2 linked regions of the Arabidopsis thaliana genome follow. The protein of the gene in region 1 interacts with the protein of each later gene in a pairwise test. Each region holds a gene or a part of one and is shown on either strand. Other genes may lie near its edges.

Region 1 (4,247 bases):
AGTATTAGTTAGTGATGTACTAGCTATTTTGCCTTCACTGAAAAAGCTTTTAAACAATTAAATAGGTCTTCATAAATAATTATAAATCACATCCCAATGATATGAGATTACATTTTTATGAATGTAGTATTGAATTGTTTTTTATAATTTAGTGATTTGAGTTGGAACACTTAAAATATTGACGACTCTAGTTCATATAATTTCGAAGCCATTTTTTTAAAAAAATCAACAATTATGTAAGTGCCCCTTAGATTTTCAACAATTAAATACGGCTTCTTAGTTCTTAAACAAGAGTATTGACCCTAAAAATGACTATTCTAGTTCTTTTTAGTGTATATGTTATGTTAGGAAGTATTCATGTGGAAATTTGTGATCTAAAATGGGCTTCGTGGACTCAGAGAAGAAATTGATGGAGAGAACTTGGGCTATATTCTTTAACACAAAGAATTTGGGCTATAACAATATTCTGTCTGAATTCATGATTAAGTTTTACCCTTCTTTTATGGTGAAAAATGAAAACTGTGACAATCATAATTTTTTAAAATAAAATATGAAAACGGTGGCAATCATATTTCTTCTTGCATGTTTCACGAACGATGCCATAAACTTGAAGTTAATATTCATTTTTCATTTTATTTAAGGAAATTCTGAATCTGAAATATTTTCGGTAAAAATATTACGGAAACAAACTTAGAAACTCGTCTTTTTGGGCTATTAAAGAGCATGTGACAGACTCTTGGAACTGGAAATCTTTACTTAAGCTGCGATCTTTGGCAGAAAGGTTTGTCATATGCAGTGTGGGAAATGGTAAGACTGCTAGCTTTTGGCTCGATAATTGGACGCCTCTTGGCCCCTTAATTAAGTTTTTGGGTGATGATGAGCCGAGAATCTGCCGTATTCCCCTAAATGCAAGAGTTGCCGATGCTTGCAACCATCATGACTGGACTCTTGTTTCCCCGAGGTCTGATTCTGCGGTGTCATTCCACAGTCATTTGACCACCATTAGTTTGCCAAGTCTTTCCTCCATAGATGATTCTTACTCCTGGATTGTGGATGCGATAAATTGCAAAGGGTTCTCTTCTAAGCGGACTTGGGAAGCGATCAGGCCGAGAGAAGATATTAAAGAGTGGTACAAAGCAATATGGTTCAAAGGCGCAACTCCCAAGCATGCTTTCACAATGTGGACTGCACAGTTAGATCGTTTGCCTACAAGAACTCGTCTCGCTTCATGGGGTTTAATGATCCCCATCGATTGTTGTCTATGCTCTGGTTTTGATGAATCTAGAGACCATATTTTTCTTCATTGTGAGTATAGTAGGGATTTGTGGCATGCTATTCAGCAGAGGTTAGGTCTACCACCTACAAACTTTGGCTCTTGGGCTGGCTTGTTGACTTGGCTTAGGTGCAAGACTGACAGCTCTCCTTCTATTCTCCGGAAAGTTTCTGTACAAACTTTGGTTTACAACGTTTGGCGCGAGAGAAACAATAGGTTTTTCAATCTTCGCTCCATTCCATCTTCTCAGATATTCATTGTGATTGATAGATTGATAAGAAACACGATATCACAGCAAGAAGACATCGTCATCTTTTCCAAAGCTTAATATCGTCATCTTTTCCAAAGCTTAATGCGTTTATGGATTCGTTGACTGCAGTTTGTTTCTGCATTAAATCGATTTGTTGCCACGTATTTTTTACTTCTTTTTTTTGCCGTGGTAACAAAAGCTTGGGTTTACTTGTTGTATAACTCTTTTCATTAATATGATATTTACAGTTTGACAAAAAAAAACAAAAAAAATCAGAATAATTGGAAATCCAATCATATTATCACAGTTTTCATTTACCAAAAAAGAGTATAATGTCATGACTCACGTAATAATATTACTATAGTAATAACGAAACCTCTACAAGGACAAAACTGGAAACAAAAAAAGGAGATAACTGCGCACGAAGAACGGGTCTCAAGCTTTCCGACAAGACATGCGCACCACAAATTTATTTAGTCTCCGTATATAAATCCTCCATTTCCAAAACCTTCCCAATCTTCTTCTTCTTCTTCTTTCTCCTTCAAACAAATCATGAGACCTGCGCAAGATAATCAAGGCTCGTTCCTTGGCCGGATTAGTATCCGTCGCAACCAATTCGTCGACGTCAACAACGAACAAGAACAAGAAGATCTCGAGCTTTTCCAAAAACACATCGCCGATCGTTTCACCGAGCTTCTTTCTCCTCCTCAACCACCACCGTCAGATGAAATTAACACGGTAGCTTCCGTAGCCGCGACGGAGCAGATTATGTCCGTGACTTGGCTTCGTAAGCTGATGGATGTTTTCCTCTGTTGCGAAGCTGAATTCAAAGCGATTTTGTTAATGGGTCGTGACCCGACCCAGATTTCTAAGCCGCCTTTTGACCGGTTAGTTCCTGAAATGTTAGACCGGTCGATTAAAGCGCTTGACATTTGTACCGCCGTTGTTAACGGTATCGATTCCGTTAGACATTACCAGCGTTTAGCTGAGATTGCTGTGACGGCTTTGGAGCAACGTCCGTTAGGTGACGGTAACGTGAGGAGAGCTAAACGCGCGTTGGCGAATCTCGTCGTCGCGTTGAGTCTCGAGGATAAAGAGAATGTTAGCGGCGGAGGTGGTGGCGGCGGCGGAGGGAATAAGACGACGGAGAGATCGTGGTCGTTTGGTCGTCGAAGCGGTGGATCATCGGCGGCGAGTAAAGGAGGAGCAACGATTGGTCAGCTCAAATCGTCGTCGTGGGCGGTTGGGAGAAATTGGTCGGCGGCGAAGCAGATCCACGCAATGACAGCGAATCTTACGCCGCCACGTGGTAACGAAGCGGCGGGATTGCCTCAACCAATGTTTATAATGAGTACGGTGATGGTTTTCGTAATGTGGGTGCTAACGGCGGCGGTTCCGTGTCAGGAGAGATCAGGATTAGCGAATCATTTACCAGTGCCGCCGAAACATTTGAATTGGGCTCAGAGTTTGATCGGAATCCATGAGAAAATCGGAGATGAGTGGAAGAAGAAAGAGAAGAAAGGATCTGCTGGATTGATGGAGGAGATGACGAGGATGGAGAAGCTAGGTCACTCGTTGATGGAATTCGCAGATGGATTTCATTATCCGGCGGAGAAAGATGCTGCTGAATCTGCGGCGGTGCAAGTGGCGGAGATGGCGGAGATATGCAGGAGAATGGAGGAGGAGCTTGTGCCGTTACAGCAACAGATCAGAGAAGTTTTTCATAGGATCGTGAGGAGTCGTGCGGAGATTCTCGAGGTGTTGGAGCAAGCCGGGAAAGTTTCGGCGCCAGTTGTGTAAAAGTTTTGAATTATTGGGAATCAATTTCGAAGTTTTGTAATTCTTTGGGGGCTAATAGGATATTTTATTTTCTTGGTTTCGTCTATTGTTGTTTTTCTATTTATGGTTGGGCTTTTAGAACTCTGGACAGGCCCATGTCATATGTTTTCCCTTCTCCTTATATTTTTCATTTTTCATTTTGTTAAATTAATGCATAATATCCAAAAACAATTTAAATTTTTGAAGGAACCCTTTAGTTACGGCTCCGAAGCTTTCACAAGTGAGAATGTGAGATCAAAGAAGGCAAATGGAGGATTTTAAAAGTTAAAATCATCTTTTATCTGCAAAAGTTGACAATTTTTTTGTATCAAATCTAAATCATCAAACTCTCTTAAACTACAAGAGCATAACAACCTCTATGTAATCCATGAAATAATCTGCTTGAAGGACATAACATAAATCATTATGGCTAGAGTGACTAACTTCAATCAAATCCTCTTAACTCTAGCTCCCTTACAATGGTATCGTAAAACATTATGCATTAGGGATTGTTGTCCTAGGAAAATAAAATAAAAATCCCCACAGACCAACTACCATTTTAACTTAAAAATAAGCTTCGTCCGCGACGAATTGTTTTCCATCCTAAAAATAGAATGGTGTAATCTGCTAATGGTTTAGTTCCATTAACTTGCAAGTTCTATTGAAAGCCTAAATGTCAATAAAGATATTAAAATTCGGAGTCAAAAGACAAATGAATCAAAAGCAACAAGACAAGTCAGCTCCATTCTTCACTACCCATCTTTTACAATAAATCATCTCTCTTTTCACAAATTTCAAACTACTCTCATTGCCCTTTAGCTTTGTTATAGAGCCAACACTACAGAGAGACTCACACACTTGTTTCAATAATTAAATCTGAATTTGGCTCTTCTTATAAACTAATGT
Region 2 (7,206 bases), on another chromosome or scaffold:
CGTGGGCTACCAATTGAAACGATTTGATTTTGTCAGTTAGTTTGTTAAAGCGTTTTAAATTAGCGATTGTAAAAAGGGAATGAGCATTATTTTTGGACAGACTAATTTAAACAGTCTAAAAAATTAGACGATTCATTGAACCGCTTAGAAAAAGTGGTTGGAATTCATTATTATTTTTAAATTTTAATGTGTCTATACTTTCATGAATTTTGTTTTTTATATCTATAAAACAATTTATGATATGTCACTAGCTTACTATACATATTTTTTTAGTCATTAACATCATTTCTCATTGCTTTAGGCTATATTGTATTCTCTACAATATAAATTGAAATAAGGAAAAAAAAAACTTACAATGACTAAATTTTAGTCACCAATGGAACTAATTATTTTGTAAGAAGGTTGAAAACTACTTTTTTTTTTTTCTAGAAGAGTCGGCGAACAGTGATGGTTAAATGAATTATGGGAGCCATGTTTGGCCTTCGTCTGCTGTCAGCCAAGCCCCTGCGAAACCCCACCCCTGGCCTGTGCAAAAGTTTACGCGCGCATTCTGAGAACGTGCTTTCCACGCTCCGATTAAGACGTCACTAAGAGTCAAAGCACTTTGATTTTCTCTTCTTTTCTCACAAAACACTTTCTTTTTTTATATACAGTATGATTTTTTTTTTTGTCGTCATTTTTTTTTATTTATTTATTTAATATGCCTCTTATGGTAAAACATATTTCAAGAAGGTTTATGTTTCTATAAACTAAAAGTTATCAACGGCAGATGAATAAATATGGAACTAATTTTCTCTCTAAATATCCAAAAATATGAGAATGTTGTCCATGGTTTTGGGAACAGAATGAGTGACGGAAAAGCCATGAAAAGAAAAGGTATCTTAGGAATATCATCTTCCTTTTGCTCGCCTAACCTTTTTTTATTGTTCTTCTCTTTTTGAATTTAAAATATTTTTCTGCTCTCTAGTAAACATTTAAACCATCGTAATAAATTGAGAATAAAGTGTGTGTATGTTTGTGTGTGTGAATGTTCGGTGTGATTTCAATTTATTGGAGGATAGAACTGTTGTGTCGAAATTGACACACCAAGGTGCCAAGTTGAGTACAAAATAAAGATCCTCTAGAGGCTACATCTTCGTCTAACAATCCTCATAAGTCTTCTTCTTCTTCTTTTTTTTTTAGTTTTCAACACACTAATGTCAAGTGTTTTGTTCATTTCTTTTTAGTTATAATATGTCTCTTGAGAAAATGTTGATATTTAGTTTGTTGTTGAGCCATTTATTTTCTGAGACAAATTTGGTCGTTAATGGATAATATTCTTAGAGATAGATCTACAGTACTGTGACTTTTGTGTAAAAACAAATTTGTAGCCGTATTTAATGGGCTATTTCGTATTTGGACAATAGCCTTTTATTTTGTGGGCCATGATATGTCAACACTGCTCAATGCTTATAAATGTTGTCGACATTTAACGAACGATATAACACCAAAAACTTCGAGTTTGTAAAGAAAAATTATGAGAGGATTACATTATGGTTAGCATATCTGACTATAATAAATTGAAAAATTACATTACTGGTTGATGGAAAGACAAATTTTTATTGAAGTGTACTTATTTCTTTAATTTTATTGGAATATAATATTCGATATGTGTTATTATGGTTAGCGTCTGCATATATTAATTTACGATTACATTATTGGTTAATGGAAATACAAAATTTTATTGAACCTTAATTATTTCTATAATTCTGTTATAAAAATATTTAAAACAGAGGTCAATATTTTTAAGAGAATGTTCAACAATCTGGTTAAGTAAGGGGAAAGAAAAAGCTTAGCTGGCTTTGAACCGGCTCGGCATTCCTCTGTCACCCACCAAACCAAACCGAGTCATCCTTCGTCGTCTCTCTTTCTTTTTCTTCAACTTCCATTTTTCGAAAGGCGACGAGAAAAAGTATTTCTCCAGTTTTGGAATTCGCCATGGCTGTTGATAGCAGAATGGATCTGCTAAGCGAAAGAGCTGTGTTGATGAGAGCATCTCTTCAAAAGAGTCAAACCATCACCGATAATGTTGTTTCTATCCTCGGCTCCTTCGATAGTCGTCTGTCTGCTCTTGAAACCGCCATGCGTCCTACTCAGGTGTGGTTTAGAGTGCTCCGATCATCTTCTCTGATTGTTTTCTAATCCAGATCTGGTATTATAGCTCTATGGAGTTTTGCTGACTTGATCGGATTTTGGTTTGACTGTGTTTTGAAATCTCAGATTAGGACTCATGCTATAAGGAAAGCTCATGAGAATATTGATAGGACTCTTAAGGCTGCTGAAGTTATTTTGTCTCAATTCGATCTCCTCCGTCAGGTTTGTTTTACAAATCTTGCTTCTGATTTTACTAACATGGATCGGTATAAATAGATAGAATTGATAATGATCTACATTGAGAATAGATAGTCTTTGATTATGCTCTCAATTCAATTCTAGGCAGAGACTAAAGTACTCAAGGGGCCACATGAGGACCTGGAAAGTTATCTGGATGCAATTGCTCAACTCAGAAAGATTATTCGTTATTTTATGAGCAACAAAAGCTTTAAGAGTAGTGATGGAGTTCTCAACCACGCAAATAGTTTGCTTGCTAAAGCACAGTCAAAGCTGGAGGAAGAGTTTAAGCAGTTGCTAGCTTCTTACAGGTTTGTGCTTCTGCGCCTGATAAGAGTTTAAGAAGCTACATGATTTCAAACTTGATGCTCTTGCTATAACTATGACTCATACCTTGTAACTTCAGGGAACAAAGCTATTGTGGATTTTTAGCTACTTTTTCTAGTTAGTATTTTTTTGGGAACTGGTCTTCGCTCTATGATGGTCTTACTTCTTTAGTTATCTTTCAAATAACCTAGAATACTTAGAATGACCTTTTATCTAAATTATCGGAGTTGTCACCTGACAAAGATTTTTTTTTGTGAAATCAAACACTTGTCAATATACAAGTTTCCTATGATACGAGTGTTCCAGACAACTGGTTTTAGATGGAAGAATGCTAAGGCCAACTCTTTTTTTTTGTTATAATCAGTAAAGCGGTGGAGCCTGATCGCCTATTTGATGGCCTTCCCAACTCACTGAGACCATCCTCAGACGGGGATGGAGGTGGAAAACCCCACGGAGGACATCACAATGATGACGCGGAAACTGCTGCTTATACACTTCCAATCCTCATTCCGTCACGGGTGTTGCCACTTTTGCATGACTTGGCACAGCAAATGGTTCAGGCTGGTCACCAACAACAGTTGCTACAAATTTATAGGTGAACTATTGATTCTTGGTCATTCATCCTGTATGTCGTACAGTTCATTTTCAAATCAGGCTCTTAGCTTAAATTTTCAACTAATAATTGTAGCATGAGTCAAAGTACTGAGTCAAGGTATAGTTTCTTTGAACGATTGCGGGTATACAATTAACTTACATATAATTCTCACCAGTCACCGCTCATTTACAAAGTAGTTTTTCCATGGTTTCTGCAAGTTGTGAGTTTATATTTGACTATCCTTCTGCTGTTTCACTAGTAAAGCTAAAGAGAAATGTTTTTGAAATATGAATTTCTATTGACACTCATCAAATAGTTTGGCTGTGATGTGCACATCGTGTACTCCGCTGTTTGTGCTTACCTGATCTGAAAACATTATTGCTAGATGCAATTCTGTTTGTCTCATATGTGTAATGCATTGGAGAAGCTTTGTCTTTTTTCTTCTATATGAACTACTAGTATTGTCAGATATAAGCAGCGAATTGCATAATCTACTGGCATTTTCCCAATGCATATTTAAGATGCATTTGTGTTTTTGAATTTGTTATTAATCTCCTTCTGTTCAACCTGTTGTGTTTTGTTCAGGGACACACGTTCCTTTGTCTTGGAAGAAAGCTTAAAGAAATTGGGAGTTGAAAAACTTAGCAAAGAGGATGTCCAGAGGATGCAGTGGGAAGTTTTGGAGGCCAAAATTGGAAATTGGATCCATTTCATGCGCATTGCTGTAAGAACTCTAGTTAAGGATGGAAATAACTTTAACATGTTTTGTTCACTTTTAACTCAAGATATTTTGTTCAACAGGTTAAATTACTCTTTGCTGGAGAAAGACAAGTATGTGACCAGATATTCCGAGGCTTCGATTCTCTAAGTGATCAGTGTTTTGCAGAAGTTACAGTGAGCAGTGTCTCAATGCTACTTAGCTTTGGGGATGCTATAGCCAGGAGCAAGAGATCTCCAGAAAAGTTGTTTGTACTCTTAGACATGTATGAGATAATGCGGGAGCTTCATACAGAGGTAATAATCTTCTCATTAATATCATTAAGTCGCCATACATTTACTGAAGAGTCTTCTGTTAAATGGAAAAATTATTCTTTAGTTTCAGCTTTTGGTGGATTTTTTCTGATCTTTAAGAATGTCAGTTTTCAGTATCATGAACTTTGGTACATACTTGATTCACCTTCAAACCTGTATTCATTTGTATAAGCTAGTGAGGTGAAATGTTATAGAATATAGGATGCTGCAAACGTCTAGTTTTATTGACACTGACACACATAACGATTTACCATATTAAGACGTAAAACTTCAGTTTGCATACGCATAGAGTTCACCACTTACTTCTTAGAGATGTCAAACCTAGCTGCTTTGTTTACTTGAGGAGTAATATATGGAAAGTGATTGTCTTTAATGTTTTTCTTCCCATGTGGAGTTTCTATCAATCAGATATGTTTTTGACCAACTGAAATCCCCACCATAATAAACAGCATGGCACACAGAGAAAAAACTTTGTGATACATATGTAGTGGAAGTTTGCTATCTAGGACGACATAAAGTGTGAATTTTCTTATGACCAGTTTATGGTATAAGATTAGATGGTACAATCTCATGAAATTTGTGTCCATGGACAGATTGAGACAATTTTCAAAGGGAAAGCATGCCTCGAAATTAGAGATTCTGCGACGGGCTTGACAAAGCGGTTGGCGCAAACTGCTCAGGAAACATTTGGTGATTTTGAAGAAGCTGTTGAGAAAGATGCTACAAAGACTGCTGTTCTAGATGGAACTGTCCACCCACTAACAAGCTATGTCATCAATTATGTCAAGTTTTTATTCGAGTAAGTACATCATATATACTCAACTTATTTCCTCGAACTATTTGCGTATTGTTCTTCTCCATACTGCTATTTGCGTATTGTCCCTTTCCACGCTTTAATTGATGATCATTGGTGTCAGCTACCAAACAACATTGAAGCAACTTTTCTTGGAATTTGGAAATGGAGATGACTCAAATTCGCAGCTAGCATCCGTAACGATGCGGATAATGCAGGCGCTTCAAAACAACTTGGACGGAAAATCGAAACAGTACAAAGATCCTGCATTGACACACTTGTTCCTGATGAACAACATTCATTACATGGTCAGATCTGTGCGCAGGTATATTATTTTTCTCGTTTAAACTTTAAAGGCTGATCTGGTTTTATTAAAAAAATAAAAGAACGCACTCATTTAGCTTTATTCATATGATAATTTTTCAGGTCAGAAGCCAAGGATTTGTTAGGCGATGATTGGGTTCAAAGACATAGGCGTATCGTGCAGCAACATGCAAACCAATACAAAAGAGTTGCCTGGACAAAGGTTCTGTCTATTTGTCTAACTCTGTAAAGAAACACTATTATATAAAATTTCATTAAATTGTTACTAAGAAACTGTTACATATTTTGTAGATACTACAAAGCTCATCGGCGCAAGGTTTGACCTCATCTGGGGGAGGAAGTTTAGAGGGAGGAAACAGCAGTGGAGTTTCAAGAGGATTATTAAAAGAGAGGTAAGTCCTAAACATGTAAAATAAACACAGTAATTGGCAAATGTTTATATATTTGGTAATGATGATAAATCTGTAAAAAAAAAATGGAACAGGTTCAAGATGTTCAATATGCAGTTTGATGAGTTGCATCAGAGACAATCGCAATGGACAGTTCCAGACACAGAGTTAAGAGAGTCACTAAGACTTGCTGTTGCTGAAGTATTATTGCCTGCTTATAGATCATTCCTCAAACGCTTTGGGTAAAAATCTCCTTTCTCTCTTTACTGCGAAGGCTTTTCTAATATTTGATTGAAATGTAAAAAAACCTAAATGAGATTTTAACCTATGATCGATGCAGGCCTTTGGTTGAGAGTGGGAAGAATCCTCAGAAATACATAAAGTATACAGCTGAAGATCTTGAAAGATTGTTGGGTGAGTTGTTTGAAGGAAAGTCTATGAATGAACCACGCCGGTAAAAAAACAACTAAAAGATGATGAAAACTAATTGTGTAAGGTAAATTTCTATCAAACTCTTCTTTTTTTTGGCTTACCTTACATAACTAGGTTCGTTGCTATTGTATATGCAGTGTCAACTTTTCGTTTTTTGTATTCTACTATTCTTTGGTTGGAATGAGAATGTGTAAATTACTTGGAGACAGAGTTGTTTCCTTTTGTATACGTTAAACGTTTTGAAATAACCATGGCCTAATAAGTCTAATCTCAACTCACAAGGATATGAAATCTTTTTTCTTAGAATGAAATTAATCGGAAATCAAAATCCTAGGCGTAATTTATAAAAAAAAATATGCAGTGAAGGAGCTAAGTTATAAGTTGATATGATTGACAATTGCTTTGAGACGAGCTTTGGTACTAAAGATCGAGCCAATAATATTTGTCCGAACAGCTGAACTAAGCTTGGGGACAAGATTGTCATGCGGATCAATTCTGTTATTTTCTTAATGGATTTTAGGTGATTAATCAGTTGTTATTGAACAGAACAAGACAGATAGAGCTCTACCGACTTGCATACTTAAATGAAAGAAATATGATTTATTAGTAAAATAAAGAGTGATGAGATGGTTTTGTTGTTTTAAAACACACATGTTTGGTAATTGGCATATTCCTTTTAGAAGATCCAAATTCTCCCAACATCTTTACATGGACTTCCCCATTTCCATCATCTCCTTCCACTTTTTTCCCAAAATAATATAAAAAAATGATAATTTGAATCGATGTAATGAGTGTATTCAACCTCTTGTATAATTTGTCTCCATGACCAAAGACAAAGAGAGAAGCCATAAAAACCCTAACAACATCCATTGTTGAAACTCTCTTTGGCACAACACCAAACACACAAAATATGGCCATCCCCTAAAGAAACTGAAGCTCAAGAA

What was found.
Region 2: the proteins of ROH1 (region 1) and EXO70A1 interact in a two-hybrid assay, tested with the Arabidopsis thaliana proteins (one study listed by BioGRID).

What each region holds. Positions count from the first base shown.
Region 1 is NC_003070.9:23,725,852-23,730,098, forward strand, and holds ROH1 (uncharacterized protein), read left to right. Parts: upstream 1-1,942; 5' UTR 1,943-2,075; coding exon 2,076-3,323; 3' UTR 3,324-3,552; downstream 3,553-4,247. Other genes in the region: MDAR6 (monodehydroascorbate reductase 6), read left to right, coding at 4,244-4,247. UniProt on the Arabidopsis thaliana protein: Required for seed coat mucilage deposition.
Region 2 is NC_003076.8:887,629-894,834, forward strand, and holds EXO70A1 (exocyst subunit exo70 family protein A1), read left to right. Parts: upstream 1-1,937; 5' UTR 1,938-1,977; coding exon 1,978-2,136; intron 2,137-2,259; coding exon 2,260-2,355; exon of another isoform or gene 2,356-2,475; coding exon 2,476-2,681; intron 2,682-2,888; coding exon 2,889-2,966; intron 2,967-3,061; coding exon 3,062-3,292; intron 3,293-3,877; coding exon 3,878-4,016; intron 4,017-4,093; coding exon 4,094-4,306; intron 4,307-4,917; coding exon 4,918-5,123; intron 5,124-5,241; coding exon 5,242-5,442; intron 5,443-5,543; coding exon 5,544-5,643; intron 5,644-5,732; coding exon 5,733-5,833; intron 5,834-5,925; coding exon 5,926-6,072; intron 6,073-6,170; coding exon 6,171-6,288; 3' UTR 6,289-6,539; downstream 6,540-7,206. UniProt on the Arabidopsis thaliana protein: Component of the exocyst complex involved in the docking of exocytic vesicles with fusion sites on the plasma membrane during regulated or polarized secretion. Involved in polarized cell growth and organ morphogenesis.